Astyanax mexicanus: one gene and its partners. The protein of the gene in region 1 purifies or fractionates together with the protein of each later gene. This does not show direct contact. Links are inferred from orthologs where the notes say so. Each region holds a gene or a part of one and is shown in the gene's direction. Other genes may lie near its edges.

Region 1 (7,096 bases):
GTATGGGTTTAGAGGCAGGGCAGGACGAAGAGCTGATTGGCTGAGCTGCAGCAGCAGCAGTGTGCCTTTTATAGCGGTGAGACCCAGATGGTTGGACATCAGTTGATTAACTGATTTGCACCTTGTATTGTGTTTACATACAAAAGTACACGGACACAACATCCTCAACTATAGTTGAAAACAGTTGAACCTGTGAGGGTGCTGTAGAGGTGGAAAGTACCACAATAAAAGCATTTTATTAATGGTTAGGAAATGTTTGCAAACATTTTAAGCAGGATTGGTATGTTTTGTTACTTTAAAGGAACACATTCAGATATTAATAAAAAAATATATAGTTTAGGGTTTAGTGGCTCTTTGCAGATGCAGCAATACAGGTGCATGCTTTTACTTAATCTACTGTAGGTTTGATTGTTGCAAACTTCTTATACTAATAACAATTAAAAAAAATTCTATCAAAATACTTCCTGAAGCTTCGTTATCTTGTCTAATTTAAATAGCTAAAAGTGGAAACCTACTCAAAACTCAGTATGGATTTTACCGGGCATCTGCTCACACTGAACCAGAAAATTATTTATTTGAACTTTATTTACCATTTATTTTTACATTTTTTACCTTATTCTTTCACAAGAACCTGAATATGGACCTTTATTTTGGTAAAAAACTAACCCAATATTCATGACTGACTGGCTGACTGGTTGGCCACAAGCACACGTAAGCCCATACACACACACACACACAAGCACAGAGACACACACAGGATGTTTCAGGAGTGGGACAGAACATATAAATAAAGAACGCTGTTTAATGTTGTGTGCTTGCTCAGCTGAAAGAACGTAGATTGTCATTTGCAGGTTCCCAAGCCCCTAAAAAGATTGGCAACACCTCTGGTTACAAGTACTGATGCAACACGTAAAACAATTATCTAAATAAAAAGTACTAAACTCATGGAAAATACGTAGTGAAATAAAAGTGGAAGTAGGAGAAAAAATGTATAGTTCAGTAAAATACCTAAGTACAATAGTAAAGTAGTTCTACTTTGTTATACATCTGTCTCTCTTAGGAGAAAAAATGTGAAGAAATCTTTAGTCAGTTTAATTAAAAAGTAATATAACCTTGTCTGAACTTTGTCTTAGCTTCTCCAGGTCATTCCTCAGCTCCTCCATCTCCCTCTGAGCAATGAAAACCTTCTGCTCCAGCCCCAGCAGCTGTGATGATTCCTTCTGAGATGGCCTCAGAACTTTAGATTGCCTCCTGCGCCCGGGATGCTGGTAAATAATATATGGTAAAGATCATGATACTGTAAAGAACTTTTTGAAAGCTTGGAAATAGTGTTTAAATTATCAACCCTATGCCAAATATCATTGCCAACAGTCAAGTGATGGAAGACATGAAACATATTCACTCACCCCATGTGCCATTGATGCAACAGAACCCAAATGTTCTGGCACAGCCTGAGAAACCAGGGCTTGGTGCTCAAACATCTCATTCTCAGCCTGTAAGGCTGCATTGAAACGCCTGCATGATAGAAATTCACATCAATTGCAGGTTATTAGCTGAAAGTGAAGATACATAAACAACAGAACATGGTGGACCATCTTCTGCTCTAGCAGATCTTTAATCTGCTAACTTCCAGGCTTAAGAAAGTCAGGATCAAACCATTGGAGTTAAAAGTTGTTTCTATAATTTTATTACCATATCTGACACCCACTTTGTTTTGGCCATTATGTTTTTTTGTGCTGCAAATACAGGTTTTAAATAATTAGAAAGATATATAAGAGATGTAAAAAAACGAATAATAATGAAACCCCAATTATATCTAAGCCAAATAACTCTCTTACTCACTAGAACTCCCCCAATAGACCACTGCAGTCCTGCATCATTCTGTAGTTCTCGTATGCCCATATTTGGGGTTCCGTTCTAAGCTAAATTTCTGAATGGGCTTTTCAAAAACTTGTCTTTATTACACTCTGTGGTAAATAAATATGTGTAGAACCCTATACGTTATATTCTGTGTGCATTTTCCTACTAAAAGCATCACTAGATCCTCCGACGTACAAGATTGTTTAAGAGGCATTTTTTTTTATCTTTTATTTACTGTTATTTTAAAACTTATTTTAATTTTAAATCAAAATTAAGTCAAAATAAAGGTTGATTGATTCATTTATATGTGTAATATTATTTTTTTATTTAAAAAATAATTATTAAATTGTATTCACACAGTGTTAGCTAGTTAGCTTAGTGTAGCAGCACTGTAATGCTATGTGGTTAAATTAGCCAAGTTAGCTAGCGAGCTAACTGCACACTAAAATAATACAGGTTTATTTTAAACAGGAGCGTATTTCCTATTAACCACTGTTCTCTGAACATGCTAAGTTACATTATTAATAAACGTTTTCTATGTTTTACCTCAAGTCTTCCAGCTGTTCACGCGTTAGTTTCATATCTACTTCAGTAAAGCTGCCTTTCTCCGGGTCCTTCATGGTTGCTATGGTAAACATGGCTGTCGCCAAGGAGGACAGCGGAGCTTAAAGGCTGAATGAGCATTATAAACTGTTAGAGGTGGCTAACCCAGGTCCAGAAAGTAAAACTCCATCCCAAGGTTTTGTACCAACAACCTGGGCGGCTCTGCTGCATCTCAAACCCTGGGATGGGTTTTTAATTTCAGGACCTGGGTTAGCCACCTCTACTGTTGTTAAGAGTCATTCATTTTAAACTAATAAACAACTATCTTTACTACAAAAACAAATAAATAACAACGAATAACAGATGTTAATGACAAAGTAATCAATTAATAATCCATATTATTAAGCCTGTATAACATGAATTTTATTTTATTTCAGAGAAAAAAAAAACACTGCTTAAAATGAGGTCTGGCTGCATAATGTTTTCTGAGGTAAGAAACGAAAAACACGTCTTAAATAAGTAAATGAAAACAAAAAAGGTATTTAAATCTAAACATGTTATAACATTATTTATAACATTTATAACATTTTATCTATTACTGGCATAATGGCTAATTTGGTTGCTGAAAAGATTACTCCACCTTCAGGTAGAATGTTAGACCAAATCCTTACCCTTATTTTTTGGAGGCTTGTCTTGAGAGATTTAGATTTTTAAAAATAACATAAAAAGTTTAAGGGATTGTGTAAGTAGCAGAAAACACCATGCCTTAGATGGTAAGTAAAATAAAATGTAACAGTAGAATTTGGTGTAGTATGTTATGGACAAAGCAAAAAAACCTAAATCCTTCCCTTGATTTAACAAAGGTAACTTCTCCAAACTTAACATTAAGAATTTATGGATGGATGGATTTAATAATTAAAAAATGCATACTGCACAGCACTAAAATACATACTATTCTTTCAAATGAACAAACACTGTTCCCTTATGAATGGATGGAAGGATACATTAATTGATTGATTGAATTATTGTATTTAATGATTTAAAAATACACTGCACAAGAGTTATTAAAACACTTTAAATCATTGAGAGCAAAACCACAATACAGCTTATTTCGTAGTCCTCATTATATCGACACTTTCCTAAAATAATCAACTAATTAATTTTTTCAAGTTTTATTGTCATTTAGAGCATTTATTTGCAGAAAATTAAAAATTGCTTTCAGAGCTCAAATAATGCGAAGAAAACAGTTTCATATTCATAAGGTTTTAAAAGTTCAGAAATCAATATTTGGTGAAATAACCCTGTTTTTTAATCACAGCTTTCATGCATCTTGGCATGTTCTCCTCCATCAGTCTTACACACTGCTTTTGGATAACTATATGCCACTACTGGTGCAAAAAAATCAAGCAGTTTAGCTTAGTTTAATGTCTTGTGATCATCTGTCTTCATCTTATCATTATATTCCAGAGGTTTTCAATTTGGTTAAATCAAAGAAACTCATTATTTTAAGTGGTCTCATTTTTTCCAGAGCTGAAGATGGATTCAAAAAGTTAGTGAGAAGTGTAGTAGTGAGTTGTAGTGAGTAGGGCGCACGCTACAGAATGGAACGCGCCCTAGAAATACTAAGATGGGTGGCAGCAGTTTGCAGACATGCGCAGTAGGGGCGTTAGAGACTATTTCCTAGTACACAGACGCTAGTCTTCTTCCAGGTTACCGTACTGCGATCTGTGTCCCTGCGGAGCGGAGCAGGAGTCGCGCAGGGAGACTTTCTCCACAAATAAAGCCCTACTACCGAGCGCTGGAGCTCCTGCATGGGACTGCAACGGGTTTGCACGACCCCCAGCCCCCCGTACTGTGGTGGAGATAGAAAGCAGGCCAGCTAGCAGCAACGGTCTGCACTCCTCCTCTCCCTCTCTCTCTCTCTCTCTCTTTCTTTCTATTTCTCTTTCTATTTCTCTCTCTCTCTCACTCTCTCTCTATCTATCTATCTCTCTCCAGCCGGCTGGACCGAAGCGAAGGGCTTAACGCTGCTGCTGCTGCACGCCAACTTCACCACTCCGGCACAGTTACTCTGATTTCGGTGCTGCTGGGGGATTTCTCGCTGGACCTCCGCAGTTCGGATCTGGGATTTGAAGCTGGCTGGGGGTGGGGGGGGGTATAATCCTGAAATATTCTGACCAGTAAACCCCCCCGCCTGCCTCCTGGGTTTGGGTTTACACACGCTGGTGGTTTGTTTTATTTAAATTGAGTTGTTTTTTTTTATTATAATTATTAACTTTTGCTGATTCGTCGTTAAGAAGCCCCGTTTCTCCATCTGTACCAACTCCTGCCCGCCTCTCTCGCTCGGCTCCGCGGCTTTAGCCCTGTCCGCTGTACCGTTAGCTCCTCTCCCGGAGCCCCGCCATGCCCGGCCCGGTGGCCGGCAGTAAAGCCCGAGTGTACGCCGATGTGAACACGCTGAAGAGCCGGGAGTACTGGGATTATGAGGCTCACGTGCCCAGCTGGAGGTGAGAGACCAGCCTTAACCCTAAAAACACATTCCCGCGTAAAATCTGTAGTATTTTACTTATTCATGCCTCTGTGTTCCACCCCCAAAACCTGCTGCTGCACGACAACACTGTTTAGCCAATTAAAGGGAATTATCTATCTATCTATAAGTATATGTATCTGTCTATCTGTTTTTGTATCTGTCTGTCTATCTACTTATATTTAGATAGACAGTATATGTAGATAGTCTGTATATTTATGTCTGTGTTTTTAAATCTGTCTGTCTGTCAGTAGGTATATTTCTCTGCTGTTTTTAAATCTATATCTATCTATCTATCTATCTATCTATCTATCTATCTCTATCTATATCTTTTTGTCAGTCTATCTATCAATCTATCTATGTGTAGATTTATCTATCAATCTCTATTGATCTGTCTACGTGTAGATCTGTCTGTCTGTCTGTCTGTCTAGCTATCTATGTATGTCTATCTGTAGGCCTGTCTAATTATAGGCCTGTCTATATATAGGTCTATCCATCTATTTATTAATATTTCTGTCTGTCTGTCTGTCTATACATAGGTCTATCCATCTGTTTATTTATATTTCTATCTGCCTATCTGTAGGTCTGTCTATCTATCTGCCAGTATATCTATCTCTCTGTATGTCTATCTATCTATCTGTTTTTCCATCTATCTATCTGCCTGTCTATAAGTCTATGTGTCTTGCAGTCTGTATAGCTGTCTATTTGTCCATCATATTATCTAAGTTTTACTCTATCTGTTCGTAGGTCTGTCTGTCTACCTGTCCATCTATGACTGTTTGTCCATATGTCCATCAGTCAGTATATCTACCAACATATCAATCTATCTCTGTATTTCTCTTTTTGCCACCTGTTTTTGCTGACAGTCTGTCATTGCTCTGACTGACTTGAGGACCAGTAGACAGATAAACCAAGACAGGTAGATGGTAAAAAAGATAGACTGACTTACAGATAGACTGATTAAGGAACAAATGGGTAGATAATTCATCTTTAATTGGTTAAACAGTGTGTGTGTTTGTGTGTGTGTGTTGGTCATGCTGGTCTGTCTAAGAGTCAGTTTATGTGTTTAACACTCTATAGCTTTCTATTTGTCTAACAGGTTATCTATGTTTTGCTCTATCTGTTTGTATGTCTGTCTGCCTGTCCATCTGACTGTTTGTCTATCTGTCTGTATATCTGTCAGTATATCTGCCTACTTATCCATTTATCTGTTTTGCAACCTGTCTAGGTGCCCATCTCATATGTCTAAAAAATTGTCTGTCTGTTTAATTATCTGTTTAATGGGGGGGCGATATGGCCATAAAATATGGTAATTTCGCGAAAACGATACTCTTGGCGTTATGATAAAACACTGAATTAAAAAAAAAAAAATTTCAGGAATGATCTACTGCATCAAAATGAAAATGTAATTTTATTATTGCATACGATATGATATGGCACACCCCTAACTTGGATATTAAAAATAAGAATTTGATCAGATTTGTAACAGAAGTCAATGATCCAGAATGTCATGATACTAATTCTAATAGATATGTCAAGGGAATTGAGAATTTTCTGTGAAATTTTCTTTTGCTAAAAACATTATTGAATACCCAACAGTTAAGCTGTTTTTCATATGGGGCAGAGATTTTTAGGCTAAATGAATTTTTGGAAGTGATGTTTATAATAGTAGGCCACAGTGACGGGAGAAAGAACTGTGAACGCCTGTCAGCTGATTTGTTCTCAAATGTTTATATTAGAGTAGGGTTGCACTGATTCTGGGAATTCTGGTCCAATACCAATATCCAATATTAAACATGTAGGCTATATATCTGCCAAAGTGGATACACATATTTATAATTTGCAGAGAGACTGGTAAAACTGGTAAAACATTTGTTTGGTAACAAATGTAACATTTGCAACCTACTAATCTAACCAGAACAGCACCATCCATCTGTTATCAAACCCCAGAACCTACTAATCTAACCAGCACAACACCATCCATCTGTTATCAAACCCCAGAACCTACTAATCTAACCAGCACAGCACCATCCATTTATCAAACCCCAGAACCTTCTAATCTAACCAGCATAGCACCATCCACCTGTTATCAAACCCCAGAACCTACTAATCTAACCAGCACAGCACCATCCATCTGTTATCAAACCCCAGAACCTACTAATCTAA
Region 2 (7,430 bases), on another chromosome or scaffold:
AGTTTTTAGGCTATAATGTTAACTTCAAAAAGTGTGTGCTTCTCTTTAAACAAAACAGACAAATTTAACTCTAGTTCAGAAAACCAGTATGTATTGATATACATTTATACAGATATAGTTGGCATTTGGGGTTTGCCATATCGTATCGTACACTATAATATCGGCAACATTTTTGAATATTGTGAACAATATTATACCCTGAAATATCGTGCCATAACACTCACTCCTAATTATCACATCAGGATACTACTTTTTCGGCTGTTTTAAGCAAAAGAAAAAATTACACTGTTCTCATTTCCTATTGAATATCTACTAGAGACAGATTATATCTGTTCAGTATCACTTATTTTACTTTAATCCAGGATATATGGAGATATTTGGAGTGCATTATTATAAGTAGTATCATGACATTCTGAATCATTGACTTCTGTTACAAATATGCTAGAATTCTTGTTTTTTTTAATATCTTAGTTAGAGGTGTGCAATATCATATTGCACACCTCTAACTGTGCAATATGATATCGTATACAATAATAAAATTTAAGTTTTGTTTTGTTGCAGTAGTGTATTTTTTTATTTCTTGTCATATCACCAAGAGTATCGTTATCGCGATAATACCATGAAATATCGTGATATTATTTTAGGGCCATATCACCCACCCCTAGTTGGCATACAGATATTTTTTACTAAACATTACCCAACCTGACACACCTTTTACTCCTCTCCCAGGTTGAGTTTCCAGAAGCTCGCATCTTTGAGGAAACCCTGAACATCTTAATTTATGAGAATGGACGAGCCTCTGGTCACGGAGGAATGGCTCTGCTGGAGTCCGGCGGCGTCTCGTCTCCAGGTGTGGGCCAGTCTGAGGAGGACGGGGCTGGCGTAGGGGGTGGAGACAGAAGGGTGAGGCGGATCCATGTGCGGAGACACATTATGCACGATGAGAGGGGACACGGACAGCAGACTGTGTACAAGGACTGAGAGAGAAGATAAGTAGAATGAGGAGATGTGGAGATGTAGAATGAAGGAATAGGATACAGGTACTATAACTGGAAATTACGTCCACGGTCATTTTGAGGTTGAAACAAAAAAGATGGATGAATGGAGAGAAAAGCATGGCATGAATGGAGGAGGGAGTAAAATTTGGTACGCTAACACTGCACTGAAGGTGGGGTGGGGGTTTATATGGACTTGCTTCAAAATGATCCCAAATGAGCCACAGTGTGGTTTCGCTTTATTTGTCTTATTATTATTATTGTTATAATTATTTTTGAGGATGAAGGTACATGTCATTCAGTTTTTTTAGTTGTTTTTGTTTTTTATTTATTATTTCATTAATTTATTGTCCAGATTTTTCACATTTTTCACTTTGTAAAGGTACATGTGAAATAAGTTATTGCTTTATGTGTGTGTGGAAGGAAGAGTATGGGGTGTATTGTGCACCTAATAGTGAAATGCGTTGTTGTTGTATGCAGAAAGTGGTACTTAGAAGTGACCCATACTTGACTGATGTATGATGTGTGTTCTTACTGGACTGTGTGCCATCCTCAACCTACTCTTTTGTAAATTGTTTTGTTTTTTTTGTTTTTTTTTTTTACTAAATTTTTAAAATGTGAGAGATCATCAGATCATTGTAAGATGACAGACTGTTGACAGTCATACTTATCCGGCCATATTGCAATTAATATTGCAGTATTAAGTCTTAGGTTAGCTGTAGGTGAACATCTAACGTCTCAAAGACGTGCTGGGGCTTCACTTGTCTATGGCTATGTTCAGACTATAAGCTCAAATGTGAGAGATTGTATCTAGATGGATTTTTAATAGGTCTGGACAGCCAGAAACATTTTTCTGCTAAATATACACATTAAGAGGTGGTTTAAAATGAAATAACTATTGGATTTGTACAGATGCATTTCAGTCTGTACTCTCTGAATGCTCAAATCGGATTTCAAGATATTATTTGCATCACGCACCATATGACAAACAATGACCTCATAAAATCCAGAGGGAGAAAAGTGTGGGGGTCAAAAAAAAATCCCTAAATATTACCTATTGACGTTGACCTCAATACCACACCATCCCATGCAGATATGTTTGTGATGTCCAGACATACAAATCCATTCTGATCACCTGCAAATAACAGCGTGGACAGTGATCTCAACAGATCTGATTTGAGAAAAAATACAATTTACCTGCAGTCTGAACATAGCCATTGAGTGATATCTCTTTATGGACATGTTCTTAAAGTGGTGAATTCTACCACTGTGCTGTCTTAATAGTGGTCCAGTCAGCCAGCTTTGCAATACACACATTCTAACAGCTGGTTGATTTCACTTAGAAACGTAGAAACTTACATTGTAGATGTTTATTTCCTTTTCTTGCATGCTTTAAACCAACCAACCAAACAACTACAAAAAACAACAAGCCTATGAGCCACTCCCCAAGCTTGCCCATAATCTATGTGAATAATAAAAACACCTAATTACATATTTAGTAACATATTTAGCAACTTATTACATCAATTATTCATTTAAGTACCAAAGCTGTTGGAAGCTAACTGTGTTACACTGATGTGACTATAGCATAGGTTCTAATGTGCTGTTCAAGCAGGGACCCATTAAACCAAGAAAACACCAAGGACAAATGCACAAATGTTTCATATGTATCCAAAACAAAGGCTTACATTGTCTTCTGTCACAACAAGTGAGTGACTAAAAGCTTTGCTCTGTTGTGTATGTGATAATAATGAGGACGCGGTTTTTGTTTAAGCCAAAAGAAGCAAGAACCTGCTTTGGAGTCATTGTAGATAAACAACAGTTTATTTAAGAGTATCTCATTGACTGTCAATGATTATATAAAGGTAAAAGCCAACTGCTCACCTGCTGAACATGCCACAGTGCTGTAAAAAAGAATTGTACTAGACCCATGTCCAATTGAGCAAATGTTTTAACTGACTAAGAACATAGCCACTGCTCACACTTAAAAACACTCACTCCACTCACCTGAACCTAAAAATCAGACATAAATCTTAACAACAGTATTGTCAGAGATTTTACACCACTTTCTAAGTGTTTGGCACCTTAACATCTTTCTGGTATTATTATGCCGTCCATAAATATTAATTGTTGTTTTATCCACAGGTTCACTAATAAAAAATCTTTTTTTTTACACATCGCTGTTTTTGGACTTTATTTAAATTTGTAGTTCTACTATTGATTTGCAAATAAATCAGTGGAGATATATATAACGTACTGCAAGCAAACTAATATGTTAGGAAAGTTTACTATCCTTAGGAAATAGTAAGTAATTGTTCATTATCATATTGAATCATCTAAAGAATATTTTATTAATTAGACTATTACTATTATTTCGCTTCTTTGTGGAATCTTGTTGTGAGCTCCCCCTACAGACTGAAAGCGGGCTCAGAGGGTATAACTGCACCAATCATGAAAATGTTTGGCCATAACTGGACAATTACCAAGTGTTGTAATTTGCACCTGGGCATTTTATGGCCCAGGGGCCACATCCGGCCCTTTGCCTTTCCATACCTGGCCCTTTTGTTCACTCACTACATACAATTAGACTACAAACCAAAGCTAGCTATAGTACTTTGAATTAACTAAGCTTAATGCTGGTTACTATTGCATAGGCAGTTAAAACTTTTTTATTATCAACTGTTTATCCTAATGTTAATGAAATAATTATATAATATTGGTGTATTTTAAACTATATGTGCTTCACATTTTATTTTTCTAAAACTTATTGCCAAAAGTAATGGAATTTATGTATTTATTTATGTAGTTTATTTTTTTATTTTTTGCCAATATGTTTTAATAATTAAATAACGCTCAATTTGATTTAATTTCTGATGTTAAATCTAGAATATAAAACTAAACATGCAGAAAAAAATTCCTGTGGAAAGTTTCCTGTGGATGATGTCACACAGACTAAGTAGATGTACATAAATTCAAATTAACTTCAGCCTTTTCTTATGTAAATTATATTTTACAGTATTAATTGTAAAAAAAAATCTTCCTATTCTGTAACAAACAGTCTATGGTTCTGAGCGTTATTTTTTTAAACTTAAGTTATTTTATATTAGTATAGTATATTTTCTTATGGTAACTAAACCGTTCAGAGCGTTTTTAATTTTTTTATATTATTTATTTTTCTCTTTATATTATTATTTATATTTTTAAATTTAAATTAAATTAAAACATTATTTTTATCAGTTAAATATAACTCAGTATCTCTTTAAACACATTACAGTATATTTCTTATGTAAACGGAATGATTTATTTTGTGTAGTTATTTCTGTTATTTATTTTAGTATTTTATTATTTTTTTATATCAGTTTTATACCAAAATGTATTAATTCTCTCTCTCTGGTAACGGCTTCGTGCGTGATGACGCAACAGTGCGTGTCCGCGCGCGCCAAACCCGGCCGTGGCGCAGTGTGTGTTTGTGTATGTTGGAGGAGGAGCTGCAGAGTTTAAAACATGGTTTCTGAAGAGACAGTGATCCGCCGGTTCGTCTCCAAACAGCTGCAGCGCTGTCCGGACCTCAGGTAAGCGACACTGGGTGAGCTTTAGCGGAGTGGAGGAGGTTTAGAAGAGTTTTAAGGCGGTTTGGGTGGGTCTAGAGACGCGGGCTGACTAACACATACATGTAATAATGAGCTAAGCTAAGCTAGGCTAGCTGTGTTGCTGATGTTTAAAAATGAAAAGGCGCGAGAGTCTCACTGTGTATCTCTGTGTTTATTAACGCTGTAAACTGTCTGTGCAGCACGTTAACACTAGGAATACTACGGAAGCGCTATCTGGAGCATGTGGGCAGAGAGTGCCTGAGTGTGGAGCACAAAACCCTGCTGAAAAAAGTGGTAGAGGAGGAGCTGTTGAGGATGCAGGTCGAGGTGAGTGGTGTATTTAGTATTTTCAAAGGCTCTGTATGCTTAAAAATTGCTTAAAAAGAGAGAAAACAGGTTTTACCACAGCTGGCCATGCAGCATCATGAGGAAATAATTTAGGCAAAAACGTACATTTTGCCCAAAAATATTTAGACGACCATTAAATTATTTTAGGATGTTGACAATATATAAATAATGCCACAAGAGGGGGTGAAAGTGCTTCCATTCTGCCCTAGTTAAAGGCCTTGGAGTCTCAGGAGTCTTGAAGCTTCTTTTTTATTATTATTTATTTATTTATTTTGTTTGTGTGTGTGTTATTACGATAACTTGTAATCTGTTTATATTCTGTATGATGCACTAGTTAATGTTTAAATGTCTGTCTTTTTTTGTTTTTCTTTTTTTCAGGACAGTGACGATGAACCTTTAATAAGAAAGTCAGACCCTTCACAGAACAAACGAAAGAGAGAGGATGATGACGAGGAAGCAGAGGCAGAAGAAAACTGTGATGTCAGGGCCCAGAAAAAGAAGTCTCGTTTTGAGTCAGTACTTCCAGGTATAAGGCAGTTTGTTTGCTTTCATAAATTTAAAAATTGCAAATATAGTCTGTATGTCCAAATTCATCCAGACAACCATTCTTATTAGTTGCTGACATTTAGAGGTCAAATATATACAGTGATTTACCACCGCTTTGTGTCAATACTTGCTGCCCATATGCAAGCAAGAGCATACAGAGGAGCACTTTTGGTTTACAAGTACGCACTGTAGTTCTGTAGTTTGTCTGCATACTTTATTATTCTTTTTCGACCTTTTTCTTCAATGGTCATGACCCCAGAGGACCACACCATGGAACAGCTATTATTTGGGTGGTGGGTTATTCTCAGCACTGCAGTGACACTAACTTGGTGTTAGTGTGCGTTGTGGTAGTATGAGTGAATCGGACATAGCAGTGCTGCTGGAGCTTTTGTCACCACTCACCGTATTTTACCAACTGCTCTATCTTGTAGATGTAAAGTCTGAGACAGAGGCTCGTCTGTTGCTGTACAGTTTGTTTTGCTCATTCTCTGGTCCTTCATCAGTGCTCACAGGATGCTGTTGGCTGTGGGTATTTCAGGTTGTTGGATTATTCTCAGTTCAGCAGTGATGCTAAGATGTTTAAAAACATCAGTAGCTCTGCTGTTTTTGATCTTCTTCTACCAGCACAACACACACTATCACCATGTCAAGTACTGAGCGTCACTGCATTGCTGAGATTGACCCAGCACCCAAATAATAGCTGCTCTGTGATTGTCCTGTGGAGTCCTGACCATTTGAAGAACAGGGTGGAGGATTAAAAAAAGCATGTAGAGAAACATAGGTCTTTAATGGGATTACAAAGAGATCCTGTATGCTCAGTTGAGATGAAACAATGGGGGGCTTTATTGAAAAGGCATGGAACCTGTTTACTGCAGCACACAACAGCAGAAATAAAATAAAATAAAAAAATGTTGTTTAATTTTCTTATCCAGTTTAGACTAAGAGCTTCTAATATAGGTTTAATACAGACCACAGAATGGCATAGAAGAATGACTGTAGAAGTAAATAGCGTGGGATTTAATTTTTCAGAAGATTAGAGCCTGCTATTGCAGTAAAAAAATGCACCACCATTTATTCACTTAATTTGAAACAATGTATTGAATGCAGGTGTCTATAAACTTTTGGACATGTAGCATGCTATACTTGTTTTCATTAGTCAAAGTGTCATAACAAATGTTTTATATATGCAAAACATACATTACTGCTTGTCTGTTGTCTATCAGAATCCCCGGATTCTGGAATAGAGAAGGCTGCTAATGAGGACCAGTTAAAAGAAGATGAAGATGATGACGAAGAGGAAGAACAAAAACAAGAAGAAGAAAAAGATGATGAAAGTGACGAGGACATGAATGTAGAGAGTGGGGAAGAAGAGCAAAAGGAAAATGTGAAGAGTAAGAAGAAAATAGAGAAAAAACAGCCAGAAGTGAAGGTAAAGAAGAAGGGAAAAGCAAGTCCAAGAAAACAAAAGAAGGATAAGGGAACTAAAGCAAGAAAGAAAAAGAAGGTACCAGAGAGTGAGGAAGACGAGCAAGACCCATCCTCATCTTCTGAGTTATCAGAGGAAGAAAAACCACAGCAAGCAAAGTCTAAAGGTCAAAGAGAAAAGAAGACGGTGAGCTCAGACAGCGAGGAAACAAAGATGAAACGGATAAAAAAGAAAGGACAGAAAAAGGATGAGACAGAGCAAGATAAAAGCAAAGTAACCCCTCCAAAAAGTGAAAGAAAAGAGCCGAATAATGAAGAGCTCAAGTCACCGGAGAGTGAGGCTGTGAGAAGAGTGCAGAAGGAAGTGTTTGGAAGTAGCTCTGAGAGTGAGGAAGATGATGATGAGGAGGAGAAGAACACGAAGAAGAAACAGCCTGAAAAGAATGAAAATGGTGACAGTGAGATTAAAAGTGATGATGAGAGTGATGAAGAAATGGACAAAAAGAAAATCACTGCTAATCTTCCT
Region 3 (7,195 bases), on another chromosome or scaffold:
AGCTACTTTTCCTGCCATTGGGCATGTTAAAAACTAAATTAATAAAGATTTTTCTAGAGAAAAAGAAATTCTAAAGTGGCTTTATAGTAGAACGTATAGTTAAAGTCTAAGTTTAAAAGTCATTTTGGAGCATTTTTATTGGTCCACTCATCAAGATGCATTCAAACAAAGTCAAGAACAACTGTCAAATTCACATTATGAAAAAAAACAACTTATTAAGATGTAATTTTGACATTATGACCATAATTATATATTGGATAAGATTCATCCCCTTTTCATAGAAAACATAATATTAATTGGACAATAAGCAAATTACCTTCATGGCCTATCTAAATCTTTATTATTTACTCTATTTGCAGTCAGTGGATTTTCTAAAGTCTAAGGTTCATAGTCGCCATCATAAGCTGGGTATAATTCATATAAATATGATACATAGGATTTAAATTTATTTGGCCAATCAAAAACAAAAAGCTGTAAATATTAACCATAAGAGACTCTTTAATCTGTTAACCTTTGCTGCCAATAAGAACATCCTACACTTTTGGATCAGTGATGCTGTTCCATCTTTTAAATCATGGCATAAACTTACTATTGAGTTTATCCCCAACTAATATATCTCATGTCTGCTCAATCTACTATGGACAGTTTGGACATTTTCTCATGTGCATGTAATTATTTAGACTTGTCTCTTTCTTATCCTTGTTACTACTCAGTCATGTCATATCCTGAGATTTTATTTTGTAATTTTGTTTTGTCCTGTCCCAGCTGGCGCACAACCGAACTTCAACGTTAAAATGACTAAAGTAAAGTCTGTTGTTGTTTCAATGCTGAAACAATGTTGAATCAACATTTAATGTTAAATGTTTGTGCAAACATTGAAATTTTAACGTTGAATCAACATAATGTCCACAACATTCTGCCCTTGGAATCAGCATTTTATATTTTATCACCATATAATTTCTAAAAACGGTTGGTTGGAGGAATGAAAAAGTGTTTTACTTCTATATGTAGTAACTCCTTTTTAATTTAACATCATGTTCATGTTCTATTTGTTTTACTGTTTTTTGTATTTTTTTGTAACTTTCTTTATACTCAGATTAACTGCAGTGATGTAAGTTTATTGTTAACTCTCTGTTAAGCGTAGGATTTTCTAATTTTGGTTGAACACGTTGAAACAACGTTGCTATATCAGCGTTGATTCAATGTTGATTCAACCATAACATCAGCGATGATCAATATTGATTTAACGTTTATTCAAAGTTTAAATGCCAGCTGGGGTGTTGTAAAATCTTATTATTATTTTTTTTTTAAAGCTCTTTTTTAAAAGGCTCTAAAATGCCAAAGTTGCTTTAGGCATATTATTTGGTGTAGCATCTTGATGTTATTGTTCACTGAAGAACTCCTCCTGTCAGCAGTGACGTCACCTGCGTCATCAATAATAATGCGGGATACAGTTCCATCACAAACAAAGACCAGAGATTCTGTTTATCTGCAGGCTGACTGACCAACCAACCAGCAGCAGCCTATACCACCATGTTTCACTGATCTGCTGTAAACCATGAGCACCAGCAACTAGATGCTTTGTTAGCTCAAAAATTATGACTCAAAGTCGACGAGACAAACATCTGACCAGGAAACAACAAAACATTCACTCCAATTATCACTTCCTCCCAATAGAGAGCCACAAGCAACAAAACAGGGCTGTGATTCCAACATAAATATACTTCAACTAAGCCATGCTCTGCTACTCGTCGTTATTTTGTAATGTGAATTTACCAACAGAATATATTTAAAGTAGGACTAGAGCCAATCTTACAAAATACTTTAAATTAATAAGTATTAAAAAAAGTGTTACAGATCATAATAGATAATTCATCAGCCTTAAGTTGGTAGTTTCTACCATTCTGTGCCACAATACTTTCATCATTTATGTGTTAATAGGTTTCAAATAAATAATAGAAATAAAGCAATTTAAAAAAAAAAGATGTCTAGTATTTTTAATGCAATCTCTATACAATTTCTTTAGGAACTTATTATAGATATTTTATAGATTTTAGAGGTTTATAGCTGGTAGTTTGTATTGTTGGGTCCAAATGCTTTCATAATTGTTTGTCAATAGTAGTCATAAATTATTAATAGAATTCCAATAAAGCAATTACAATTGCTTTATTCATTGCTTCAGAATTAAAAAAAAAAAGAATTGTATACAGTTCATAGTATCAAGATATTTCCATTTTCATATCTCAATCTCTTTGCCATTAATAACCTTAATACAGCATAATACAGCTACACATAAATTAAAGTTAGAAATTATAATAGATAACAAGAGCTTGTAAACTATTAATTTTTGCAGGCATGCAGATACTCACCATATGAAATATGTGATGACCAGAAACTGTACAATTCTGTAAATGACTCCCAGAGTCCTGTTCTTCACTACCATGATCTTTGGAGTCTCATAGTCCCAGAAACCCAGGAAGAACTCCCTGAAGAACTCCTTCAGTCCCATACTGACCACAGACACGGGACCCCAGCAGATACTGGTCTCTGTTATCTTCCAGCACACTTTACTGCTCTCTCTCTCACTCTTCCTCTCTCTCTGTACTTCTGTCTCTCTCTACCTCTCACTCACTCCACTTCTCTCTCTGACTATCTTTCTCCCTCTCTCTCTACCTCTGTCTCTCTGATTCTCTCATTCTTTCTTTTCTCACTCTACCTCTCTGACTCTCTCTTTCACTCTCTCTACCTCTCACACTCTATACTTTTCTCTTGAACTCTCCCCCTCTGACTCTTTTTTCCCTATCTTTCCCTCTTTCTGACTTTCTCTCTCCCTCTCTCTCTACCTTTCACTTACTCTACCACTGTATCTCTGACTCCCACCTTCTCTTTTTCTCTCTCTTTTCCTGACTCTTTCACTCTCTACCTCTCTCTATGACTCTCTCTCTACCTCTCATTCGCTCTACCTCTGTCTGTCTCTCTCTCGCTCTATATCTCTTTCGCCTCACCTCTGCCTCTGACTATCTCCCTCTTTTATCAATTTCTTACTCTCTCTCATTCGCCCTAACTCTCTCTTTCTGACTCTTTCTCTTTCTACCTCTCTCTCTGACTCAATCTCTCTCTACCTCTCTTTGCCCTACCTCTGTCTCTCTATCTCCCTCCATACTTCTCTCTATGACTCTCTCTCTCTAGGTCTCTCTCTCTCTTTCTCTGTCTTTCTCCAACTCTCTGGAAACATCTTATCTTATTATGTGGTTTTTCTGCACATCCGTGTTGGGTATTAATTTCATACACAGGAAACAACTGTGCCATGGTCAACACAACACACACACAAGCATATTATTTAAAAGAAAACGAAAATAAACTCTTATAGAAGACTCTACCACTGTCTGTGTTCTAACCCCCAGACAGTGCTCTAAAAGACTGACAAACTTTGACCTGGCCAACTAAGAAATTAGACAGGCAGCACTACAGGGCTTTAGAATATCAGCGCCCAAAAATAAACACAGGTACAGTACAGGTAAACAGAGGGCCCACCCCTGTCATTGAATTACTGCCGTTTTTCACCCGTCAGACTTCTAATTCCTCTTTAAACTGCTAAAACGGAGACTTAATCTAATGTTAAGCTGAGCTAAAGGCTAAAGCTGTTTCCATGTGGGTCAGCCAGACGTCTTCCTGTACCAGTTTCTTCCAGTTTCTTTTTCAAATTATTATGATGAAAGTGTTTGACTTTTTTTTTATTTATTTCCAAAGCTCAGTTTATTTTGATTGCTACTTACTAGCTGTAAGCTGTTCAACAATTAATTACTTGCTAAATATCACCCCCTCTTTTTAAAACAATGTATAGATTTATGTTAAAATACTTTGTTAAAATTTTGTACCATATTTCTGTTTTTTTTTTTGTTGTTGTTTTCCAAAATCCAAAAATCAGGATTACATAAAAGTTACATAACAATATGACAAAAAGAGTGAAAGAAAGAAAAAGATTAATACAAAGATGAAAAATAGATGATGAAAATGAAGCAAGAAAAAGAAAATGTATAGGGAAAACAAAAGAAAGAAGGCGAGAAAACAAAAGAAAAAGTACAAGAAAAAACGAAAAGAGAAAAAAAGGATAGGAGTCGGAATGTAAATAAATGTGATTTTTGATCAGGCGCGTGTTCGGGCGCTCAGTCAGATGCCGGGGTCCTGTGGTCTCCGCTGAGTGACGCCACGCAGCCGCGCACGTGTGGAGCGGAGCGCAGGATCTGTAGCAGCAGCGCTGAACCCAGAATAACAACAATAACGCAGAATAACCCAGAATATCAGGGAATTACAGCGGTTTAACACCAATATCCAGCCGTAACGCGCTGCAGCTCACCTCCAGTCCGCCATGGGAGGATTACAGAAGAAGAAGGTGAGGAGAAATCAGCAGCCCGGGCCTTTAAACTCCCCTGATCACTAACAGCTACTGAAACACTAACTAATAAACTCACTGACAGTCTGTATAACTGTTTAATGCTGCTGAACTATGATTACTGACTGCTGTATAGATTTATCTATATCAACACTGCTTAAATTGTTATTGAATTATATCCAGAACAACACAGTTAGCTTTCAGGCTAATAACAGCAGCTAACGTTACCTGTGACTGCATGGTGAGCACGAGCTGTGCTCACAAAAATACCTGACCTACCTTAACAGAAACTGAACACAACAAATTGCATACTACAATTTATTTTTAACGGGTTTATAGATCACTTTAAGACTTTACTTCAAGAATATGTTATGGTGCTAAGTTAAGTTAAGGTGCTTTTATCGTCATTCCATCTAAGTACATGTACACAGTGCAATTAAATTAACCCTCGTTCCTCTGGAGACATGGTGCAACATAGAACAACAATACAATCTAAACAACAAAGTACAACATAGAGCTAAAACACCACAATAAATACAGCAGACATGAAACATTTAGCAGACATAACACTTTATTACCGATACGGTACAGTAAAAGTGCTTGGTGAGAATAAGGTGCAAAAATATGTAATATACTGTAACATGTGGGTCATACACTATAACAGCAGTTACTGAAAGATTATGCATGACTTAGTGGAACGCCTTTCCACAGAATATGAACAGAGTTGAAATCAGATACTATTTCTCCCTCTAGCTCTCTACCTGTCTCTTTGACTCTCTCTCTCTACCTCTCGTTATGACTCTTTCTCTCCACCTATTTCACTGACTCTCTACCTCTCATTGACTCTCTCTCTCTCTCTGACCACCTCTTTCTTCCGTCTGTCTGTATTGCTCTCTCTGCCTCTCTCTTAAAGTCTCTCTTTCTGTTTCTGACTTTCTCTGACTCTATAACTCTTTCTGACTGTTTCTTTCTCACTCTTTTCCTCTCTTTTACTGACTCTGTACTTCTCTCTCTACATCTCTTTTTCTCTGACTCTCTACCCCTCTCTCTACCTCTCTCGCTCTGTGTACCTCTCTTACTGTCTTATTCTCTCTGACTGTCTGTCTCTTTCTGGCTGTCTCTGTGTCTCCGACTCTATTACTCTCTCTCTAGTTTTCTACTTCTCTCTTAATCTCTCTCTCTTTCTGACTCTTTCTCTGGTTGTCAGTCTCTCTTCCTCTCTCTCACTGACTCATTGTACATCTCTCTAACTCTCTCTGACTCTTACTCTTCCTTTCTCTGACTCTATAACTCTCACTGAATAAAATTTGTGAAGTCGCAGAGCAATTTTATTTTAGTGCATTAGAGATAAAAAAATGAAATGCGAATGTGATTCACCATATTTTTGAATATGGGTTAAACTCCTGAAAACATGCAGATTTCTAAATGATATTTATATATGTCTCATTTTCATAGCAGTGCTTTTTTTAATTCTCTAGATGTTTTCTACATGTTGTGCTATTGCTGTAATGATTTACTTTTTGTTAGTTACAGATGAAAAAACTAAAAATCAAATGCAATATTTCTTAGTTTTTTGACAATGTGAATTGACAGTTGCTCTTTATATTGTACTAGAATTTCTTGGAAAAAAAGAAGTAATTTTAGAACATTTCTATTGATGCATTCAGCATCAGAAAGTTCAGAATATCTTAATATTATCTAAACATTGTGCACATCTGGAAATACAGTATTGATATTAATATAATGCATTATAGGTTTGATGATGTCAGTACATTTTAAACCTCTGTCCTGCTTTATATCTGCTAGTACTTCCTCAAGTTCTAAGCTATTTAATTTTCAGCTCTTTCAATTTGAACATTACATTTGTAGGACTGTAATTAAATTGCACATTTAAACACCGTTGGTATCATGCAGTAAAATAGTATGGCAGCTGTACGTTTGCATGTGAAGCTTTTGCTAGAACTGTTAAGTATTGGGTTGTGACTTTATGCTCTCATAATGTTGATTTATCCTGTCAGTCTTTCTGTCCAGTGGATGAATATTAAGGGTTTATAACCTGTTTCTCTCTGTTTGCAGTATGAAAGTGGGTCAGCCACCAACTACATCAGCAGAAATAAAGCTCGCAAGAAGCTCTGCCTGAGCCTGGCTGATTTCAGGTGAGTACTGGACAAGCATAATACCTAGTACCAACTGATTTAATCCAGCTGATTATGTTTTAATGTGATTTTATTAAACACTGATATATATATATATATATATATATATATATATATATATATATATATATATATATATATATATATATATATATATATATATATATTGCCTTCTTCATTGTTCTGATTGGTTCAAAGTGATTAAATAACCTGTAGGTAGAACTTTGATGAACTAATAACAATGTGCTTCCTCATTTCCTCATTTTTTTTGATTAAATGTAATTTTTATATGTTTACTCACAGGCATATTCCTTTGTTGATATGTTAAAAACAGTATCCCTGTGTGACTATAAAAGATAAAGGATAAAATACCACTGATTGTTATAGTCTACTGTTTTCTTTCATGTTTTTAAACATAAAATAAAAACATAAAATTGAACAAATATTTTTTAGAACCTCAGATATACTAATAACACTATTGCACAAACAAAGTATTATAAGACATTATTAACTGTTTTGAATGTGATTCATATATGTATATATTTGTACCAGTTTGTCGACATCTCTTCTTATTCTTATTTTTTCTTTTTGCATTTTTTTTGCATTTTTAAATGTAATATTAAAAGCTATATTAAAGCTATACAGG
Region 4 (7,170 bases), on another chromosome or scaffold:
ATCAGAACCAGAACCCACCTTCCCTGAGACTCGAGACTCTGAAGACTGCTCAACACACGTTTGACTCACTGTATTGAACACCTGATTGGCCTGTGGTTGGTCACTGTAGTCGACACCTGATTGGCCGATGGCCAGTTTGCTCTGCTCAACACTTGATTTGGCTGGACGTCACTCTCTGTCTATGCCCTGTTTTATCACTAAAGCCACGGGACCTCGGTCTACATGTTCATCCATCAGAGCTTTTCTTTCTTCCGTTTTTTTTTTTTTTCTTTTTTTCTTTATTTTTCGTACGTGTGGGTAGAGCTGGATTGATCGCAGGTCAGCCTGCTTCCCCTCTGTCTCTCTCTCTTTCTCTCTGTCTATCTCTCTCTCTGTCTCTCTCTCTCTCTCTCTCTCTCTCTCGTTCTCTCTGTGTTGCTTTGGAGTAAGCAGCCAAAATTGTGTTTTGGTGAACACTGCTCCCACTACTCCAGTTCTTGACTTCACTTGTAGTATGTAAACAGTTATTTTACAATAAAAGTCTTTTAAATCAGAACGACGGCACGCTTTGACCTCCCGGCCCCATTCTGTGTTTCCTTTTAATTCTACTTTACCTTTTTTTTTTTTTTTTTTGTCTGTTTTGTACGGTTACGTTTTTCCAAAAGGTACTTTTTTCCGACAAGCTGTTTTACAGGCCAGTTCAGATCCAGATTATGCAGAATAGAACGATACAGTTCATACTGTTCATACTGAATGCATTTATATGCACTCAAAAATCTGTTCATAATCTGATTACCGTCTTTTTCGTAATATATGGCTCATGAATGAATAATGAATGTCTATTTTCATGTATTTTAAAAGAACTTCTAATTCAGTAGGTCTCGCCGCTTAGTGGTGGTGGTAAAGTAAATTAAGTAAAGCTAAGCTAAGTAAACAAAACTGTAATAAAAAGACTCTCTTTTAAAGTCAAACGAGCGCTGGATGTTAATCTGCAGATTTCTCTCTTAAAAACTGTTTATTTGGGTGAGTAAAGTGCTTCAGTTTATTTACAGTAAGCTTTTGTCAGCTATTTTTGGAAAAATTAAAGAATTTTAAGTGCGCTTCATAGTGCTAAAAATATAGTACTGCAGTTATAATCTGATCACTAAAGTTATAATCTGAGTACTGCAGTTATTTATAATCAGGTTCTGGGAAGTCTCAGTCTGTGCATAAGTGAAAACAGACAGTGGTAGCGGAAATAATCAAGCAGCAGTTATCAGCACAGCACCCGCAATAATTTAGAAGTGACACTAATACTGAAGGAGTTATATAATCTTCTAGTTGATGTATGATCATATTGCAGCTCGATGTGTTAAAAAAGCTGCAGCATAAAGTTCAGGTTTTATCATGTTTTAATTAAATGAGTTTATTAGCTGGTTACAAAACAAAAATATGATTATTGCCTAATTTATATAAAATCTGGAGTTTTCCCTTTATCTGATTACCCAAGTTCATGTGAGCGTGTTAATCAGATTACTGACCACAGATTATGAGGTGCATTTAAACACATTCACTGACACATTTTACAATTCTTGAATTCTTATGAATTCCATCAATTTATTTTTTTTATATCCTTCTTGCCGCAGAGTAGAGTGAACTGTTCTGAGCTCTGATTTTATCTGACGTCTCTGAGATCACGATAAGTAGGATAAATATGGGTCCAGGTGTGAGTTAGTTGCTGAACGTCACACTGTGGTAATGCTTACCTACGGAATATTTTATTTTTTATCTGCGACGTTAGCGGAAATGGTTCCGTTTTATTAATTTTCCAAATGCAAACAGCGAAGAATTGAACACTAATGTATGCTATGGTTTTTAAAACTGTATTAAGTCGACTTTCTGACACTTGAACATGTATTTACATGACGTCCTCTGATAGAGGACAGAATGACGAGATTATTCCTGCATGCTCGAAACTGACACAATTCCGATTTGCTCCCAATTTTGACGTATTTTTTTTTTCTGTCTTTTCCGTATTTTTTTTCCGTACAGGTCAGTACTGACAGTTAGAATTAGAAGAGTTTTCTGACTCTCCCCGACTTCAGGTGAAGTCTTGTCTCTTTGTGCTCTTCAGAATCCTGCTCCTCCGTATTCCTGTGGATGTAGTTCCGTATTTTCCGGCTCTGTTGCTCCGTAGCTGGCAGTAGTTTTCCGTTTTTTCGGCAGGCCGGGAATGCTGGTCTGCAGCTGCGCTCCGTAGTGCTGCTTGTGTAGTTTGGATAGACATTTGCGCTCGCTCCAAATTCCAAGTTCGGATGGGATGTTCTCTGTTTCTCCCTTTATTTTTCCGCTCTTTCTCTTTCCTGATGTTTGTCTCTGCAGTTTGGTATGGAATACCGTTCTTCTTTTTGTTCAATTTCCCCCTTTTTCTTTTTGTTCACATGTGAGGAGTCTGCTGTGCTTCGCCCCCGATGGTACAACTACAGCGCCCACGACCTTCCGACCCCAACCCCGACCCAGACATCGCTCTGCACGTACTCTCCCGTACACCCCCCCGATCCCTGTCCAAATCCGAAATATAACCCTGAAGCGTTCTGTTGGGAAGTGGGACGAATGGGAATATGATGAGAAATGATGTACCATTTTTTTTCCACTTGTTTTCTTGTTTTGAAGTATTGAGATGAAAAACTAAGATGGGTTTTTAAAAATCTGTTCGAGCTTTTTGTTTCATATTCTACATCTCTGATGCTATCCAGGTTATATTCAACTAGGAGACATTATCTTAAACGTTTGGAATGTAGATTTATACTATACCATTAATGGCCAAGTGTATGTTGGCTTTCTGTTTTTTTTTCTGCTTGTTTTTTTTGTTTTTTGTTTTTTTTTCTTTTTAATTATTATTATTATTATTCACTTTTGATACTGTGAAAATCTTTCGTTCAGAAAGATTAAAACATTACAGTTTTGACAAAAAAAAGAAAAGTGTCATGTTTGCTTTCTAGCTTCTCTGTGCTCAGTGTTTAATCTCGGCAGGTGCAGGAGGGTCTTTATAAAGGTAAGTTTAATCAGGTTCTTAGGTTAAAAAAAAAATAAAAATAAAAAATAACCCCACATGTGGGAAAAATCGCCTCGATAATTGCAAACAATTTGCAAAATACATGCATATTGGATTTATGTCAGTAATTTAAGCATAGTAATTCATTTTAGAAAATGAGACTGCACAATTCTAAATACTTTATTTTAAACCAACACACATCTTGTATTGATGCCAAAAATAATATATATCTTTGTTGTCCAATGAAAAAATGCATCTCCAGAACAGAAGCTTCTTAATTTTCAATGGAAGTCAATGTAAAAATTGCTAAAATTAATTTAAGGTAATTTTGGATCATTTCTGTTGATCCACTCATAACCAAATTGAGAGAGTGTAAGGGACAGTTTGTGCCCAAATTATGTAATAACTAAAAACCGACAAAAAAAATTAGCAACAATACAAAGCATATTATAAACGCTGAGGTATCCAAATAGTAAACTAATGTACTGTGATGACAATACAATTTATTAAGATTATATATTAAATCTTAAAATATTTTTAAATAATAAAAAAAAAACGTATATTATTGTCATTTTAACCTACTGACAGTAACAATATAGCCTATATAGCTAGCAAAATCTGACCATTGTGTTATCGAACTGTAACATTAGAGCATTAAAAATCAGTAGGTTATAAATATAGATAACTGAGGATAATCACAGCAGCCCTGTAACAGATCATGAGCAGAAAATGCTCCTTTTACTCATTCCGTGCAGCTCAACAGTTAGAACTACATTTCCCTCAATATATATTATGACTTCATTTTTTCTTAATGTTATTATTTTAATGTTGTAATATTATGACTTCTTATTCTTGAAGTGAACTCTTTTAGTGATTTTTTAAAGAGTGGTTTAAGTAAAACCAAAAATAAAAATATATTTTCATATTCCGATTTTGGATTTTCAGTTGAAATTCAAAAGAATGCATGACACACGGATTGTATAAAATTATTAAACATTTATATACATTATTTATATGATTTTGCTTGATTTTGCCTAATTTCAGCCTCTCTCTCGGCAGCGCCCCCTGCTGGCCTGACTGTTAAAAGCTAGATTTTTGATCACGTGTTGTTCGTTCTCGTCTCGCGGTTTGGCTCGTGTCGCGCGCCGTAGCGCATGCGTAGTGTGTTGGTGAGCGCTGCTGCTTCTGCTGTTTCGCTGGTGTTGTAAACATTAGCAGCTGGAGATTCTCCTTTTTAACTCAGTTTAACCTGAATAACCTCTTTTAACACAGCCCCGCACTACAGCCACCATCCGCCCGCAGCATGGAGGCGGAGAGCCGGCCGGGGAAGGTGAGCTACAGCCGGGCTTTAACCGTTTATCAGCGGGGGCAACAGCGGTTAGCTTTAGTGCTAATAGGCTAGTTTATATACACACTAGCAAACAGCTAAGCTAATTAGCTAACTAACTGTGATACAGTCCACTTTAGCGAGATAACACCTAAACTTGATTAAATTAATCAAAGTTTCAGGTCTCTAAGCCAGAAATGAATTCAGTTAAATAATAGGTAACATAGGTTAATGTGGGTATACAAGGTACATGTTCAGTACTTTAGTTTATACTGTTTTCTAACTTGCTAACTTAGGTAGCTTTACTAGTTAACTCTATACTACAGTAATTCAGTTCAAAATGTGAAACTCTTATTTATATATTATAGATGTATTACACACAAAGTGATCTATTTTAGACGGTTATTTCTTTTATTGTTGATAAATATGGCTTACTAAGACCAATTTCCTGCTGGAAAATGAAATCCACATCTCCATAAAAGTTGTCAGTAGCAGAGGGAAGCATGACGTGCTGTACATTTTGCGGGAAAACAAAACTGCACTGACTTTAGACTTGATAATAAAACACAGTGGATCAACACCAGCAGATGACAGACATGTCTCTCCAAACCATCACTGATTGGTGGAAACTTCACACTAGACCTCGAGCAGATTGGACTGTGTTTCTATCCACTCTTCCTCCAGACTCTGATCCCTTAATTTTCAAATGACATGTAAAATTTACTGATACTTACTTTTGGACATGTAGTAAATTACAAATATCTCATTATTCATATTTAATGTTTCAGCGGAGTTACTCCGGAGAGAGGTCCGCATCCGAGCCTTCAGAAGACGACGATTATGTTCCATATGTTCCTGTTAAGATCAGAAAACAGCAGATGGTAAATTCTAGTTTTTATCTTACAGTTACGTGAGTAATGTTTTAATCCATATTATGGTGATAACTACTACTATATAACTATATATAAGTAAAGAAAAAAAATACTCAAAAAAATGAAGATCAGTCAATGTAAAACATTTCAAGATTTATTTCTGCTGTTAATCTGTGGTGTGTTTTTGGGTTCAGATGCAGAAGATGATGCGTCTGCGAGGGAAGGGATTGACTGAGGAGGAGCAGAAGGACAGCGGAGGAGAACAGAAAGATGAGGACGAGGGTCTCGGGCCGCGATCCAACGTCAGCCTGCTGGATCAGCACCAGCACCTTAAGGAGAAAGCTGAAGGTATGTTCTGCAGTTTCTGTTTTTATTTTATTTAATGTATTTCTGTTAGTTAGATATCTAATCTAAAATCTGCTGATTTTATTTTTGTAGCTCGTAAGGAGTCGGCGAAGGAGAAACAGCTGAAGGAGGAGGAGAAGATTTTGGAGAGCGTGGCTGAAGGCAGAGGTGAGTATATACCTGTTGATTAACTTTATAAAATAACATTAACATTATAAGATACACAGTGTTTCATCTTACTTTAACATTAAAGCAACAGAAACAGTTAATATTATAATTAAATGGAATCAGAAACATTTTCTCTTATTCTAAACCAATGAGTCAGTTTTTGTATATGATTAGATACTGTATTATATCTATAATATAATATAACATTTTACTGTTACTACATCATTTTTATAATTGCAAGCCTGTCACAATGACTATTATTTGAATCATATATTGTTAAAAAAGTTACTGTGGAAAAACAACATTGTAATTTTAGACAATTTTTATAACATAATAATGAAAGTACAACTCTTTTAAAGTAAATAATGTAACTGTTAATTTGCAAAACCAAGTAAGTGCTATTCTTTACACATTTCTTTGTCCGTTTTTGCAAATAAAGTCTTTAGTTTAATATATAGGTCAAGAATGTAATTATCAAGACAGGCCTAGTTTGTAAATAAAAATGCATAAAAAAAAAAGAAAACTAAATTTGTCTCAATGTTTTATCTACATACATAAATATGCATAGAACTCAGTGTTGTAACGCGTCTGTCTGTCATTTATTCCTCCAGCTTTAATGTCTGTAAAGGAAATGGCCAAAGGTATCACATATGAAGACCCAATTAAAACAAGGTAAGTCAGTCTCGTGCTGTATTTCATGCATCCTTACACCAGAGGGTGTTAAAACTCTAACACTAGTGTAATAAACACTAATATATATGCTTTTACTTTGAGCTAAGTATATTTTTAGATGGACATTTATTTACACTTTAAGTAAATGCAGTAAATCAGCCACAGTACTGTGAGATAATTAGAACACCCCATGAATCCCATGTGATTTAGAACAGATTTAAATATTTAGGACATTTGATCTTCCTGTGAACAATATGGACCCGAAATAATGTCTGAGCTTTAAATAATAAGACATAAAGACTCCGCCCACATCCTCTCCAACCATGCTTATCTTCTTCTTCTTCCCCTGATTCTTATTTACCATCTCACAGTATAGTTAAAAAAAATGTCAATGCTATATAAAGAACACATGCTGAAAGTAATGGTTTCTCTGTATCTTTAGCTGGAAAGCTCCTCGCTACATATTAAGCATGCCGAAAGCGAGGCATGAGCGAGTGCGGAAGAAGTACCACATCCTGGTGGAGGGAGACGGCATTCCTGCCCCTATAAAGAGCTTCAGAGAAATGAAGTTCCCTCAAGGTAATGCATGAGTTTGGTTTATAATATAATATAATATTTGTAATGTTTCAGCAGCGCAGAGGACAGAACACAAACATCAGGAAATATACAATATAATCTATATAGAAAAAAATATATTTTTCTAGAAAATTAGAATTACGAGTGTTGCTGTAGATTATGTTGTGCATTGTGATTTGAGATATTGCACATAGTGT

What was found.
Region 2: the proteins of csnk2a2b (region 1) and hirip3 purify together in Homo sapiens (affinity purification with mass spectrometry; 6 studies listed by BioGRID and IntAct, counting the BioPlex papers as one, with this or other methods). This does not show direct contact. The link is inferred for Astyanax mexicanus from reciprocal best matches to the Homo sapiens genes CSNK2A2 and HIRIP3.
Region 3: the proteins of csnk2a2b (region 1) and pes purify together in Homo sapiens (affinity purification with mass spectrometry; 3 studies listed by BioGRID and IntAct, with this or other methods). This does not show direct contact. The link is inferred for Astyanax mexicanus from reciprocal best matches to the Homo sapiens genes CSNK2A2 and PES1.
Region 4: the proteins of csnk2a2b (region 1) and probable ATP-dependent RNA helicase DDX41 purify together in Homo sapiens (affinity purification with mass spectrometry; 3 studies listed by BioGRID and IntAct, counting the BioPlex papers as one, with this or other methods). This does not show direct contact. The link is inferred for Astyanax mexicanus from reciprocal best matches to the Homo sapiens genes CSNK2A2 and DDX41.

Annotation. Positions count from the first base shown.
Region 1 is NC_064417.1:7,239,040-7,246,135, forward strand, and holds the start of csnk2a2b (casein kinase II subunit alpha'), read left to right. Parts: upstream 1-4,076; 5' UTR 4,077-4,806; coding exon 4,807-4,910; intron 4,911-7,096. Other genes in the region: ccdc113 (coiled-coil domain-containing protein 113), read right to left, coding at 1,113-1,265, 1,407-1,515, 2,407-2,498.
Region 2 is NC_064426.1:34,700,776-34,708,205, forward strand, and holds the start of hirip3 (HIRA-interacting protein 3), read left to right. Parts: upstream 1-4,415; 5' UTR 4,416-4,499; coding exon 4,500-4,567; intron 4,568-4,785; coding exon 4,786-4,912; intron 4,913-5,311; coding exon 5,312-5,459; intron 5,460-6,702; coding exon 6,703-7,430. Other genes in the region: kctd13 (BTB/POZ domain-containing adapter for CUL3-mediated RhoA degradation protein 1), read left to right, coding at 730-981. UniProt on the Homo sapiens protein: Histone chaperone that carries a H2A-H2B histone complex and facilitates its deposition onto chromatin.
Region 3 is NC_064429.1:31,266,381-31,273,575, reverse strand, and holds the start of pes (pescadillo), read left to right. Parts: upstream 1-4,192; 5' UTR 4,193-4,369; coding exon 4,370-4,393; intron 4,394-6,469; coding exon 6,470-6,549; intron 6,550-7,195. Other genes in the region: p2rx2 (P2X purinoceptor 2), read right to left, coding at 2,370-2,509. UniProt on the Homo sapiens protein: Component of the PeBoW complex, which is required for maturation of 28S and 5.8S ribosomal RNAs and formation of the 60S ribosome.
Region 4 is NC_064426.1:3,134,148-3,141,317, reverse strand, and holds the start of probable ATP-dependent RNA helicase DDX41, read left to right. Parts: upstream 1-4,165; 5' UTR 4,166-4,316; coding exon 4,317-4,343; intron 4,344-5,128; coding exon 5,129-5,221; intron 5,222-5,406; coding exon 5,407-5,560; intron 5,561-5,650; coding exon 5,651-5,725; intron 5,726-6,336; coding exon 6,337-6,397; intron 6,398-6,839; coding exon 6,840-6,976; intron 6,977-7,170. UniProt on the Homo sapiens protein: Multifunctional protein that participates in many aspects of cellular RNA metabolism. Plays pivotal roles in innate immune sensing and hematopoietic homeostasis.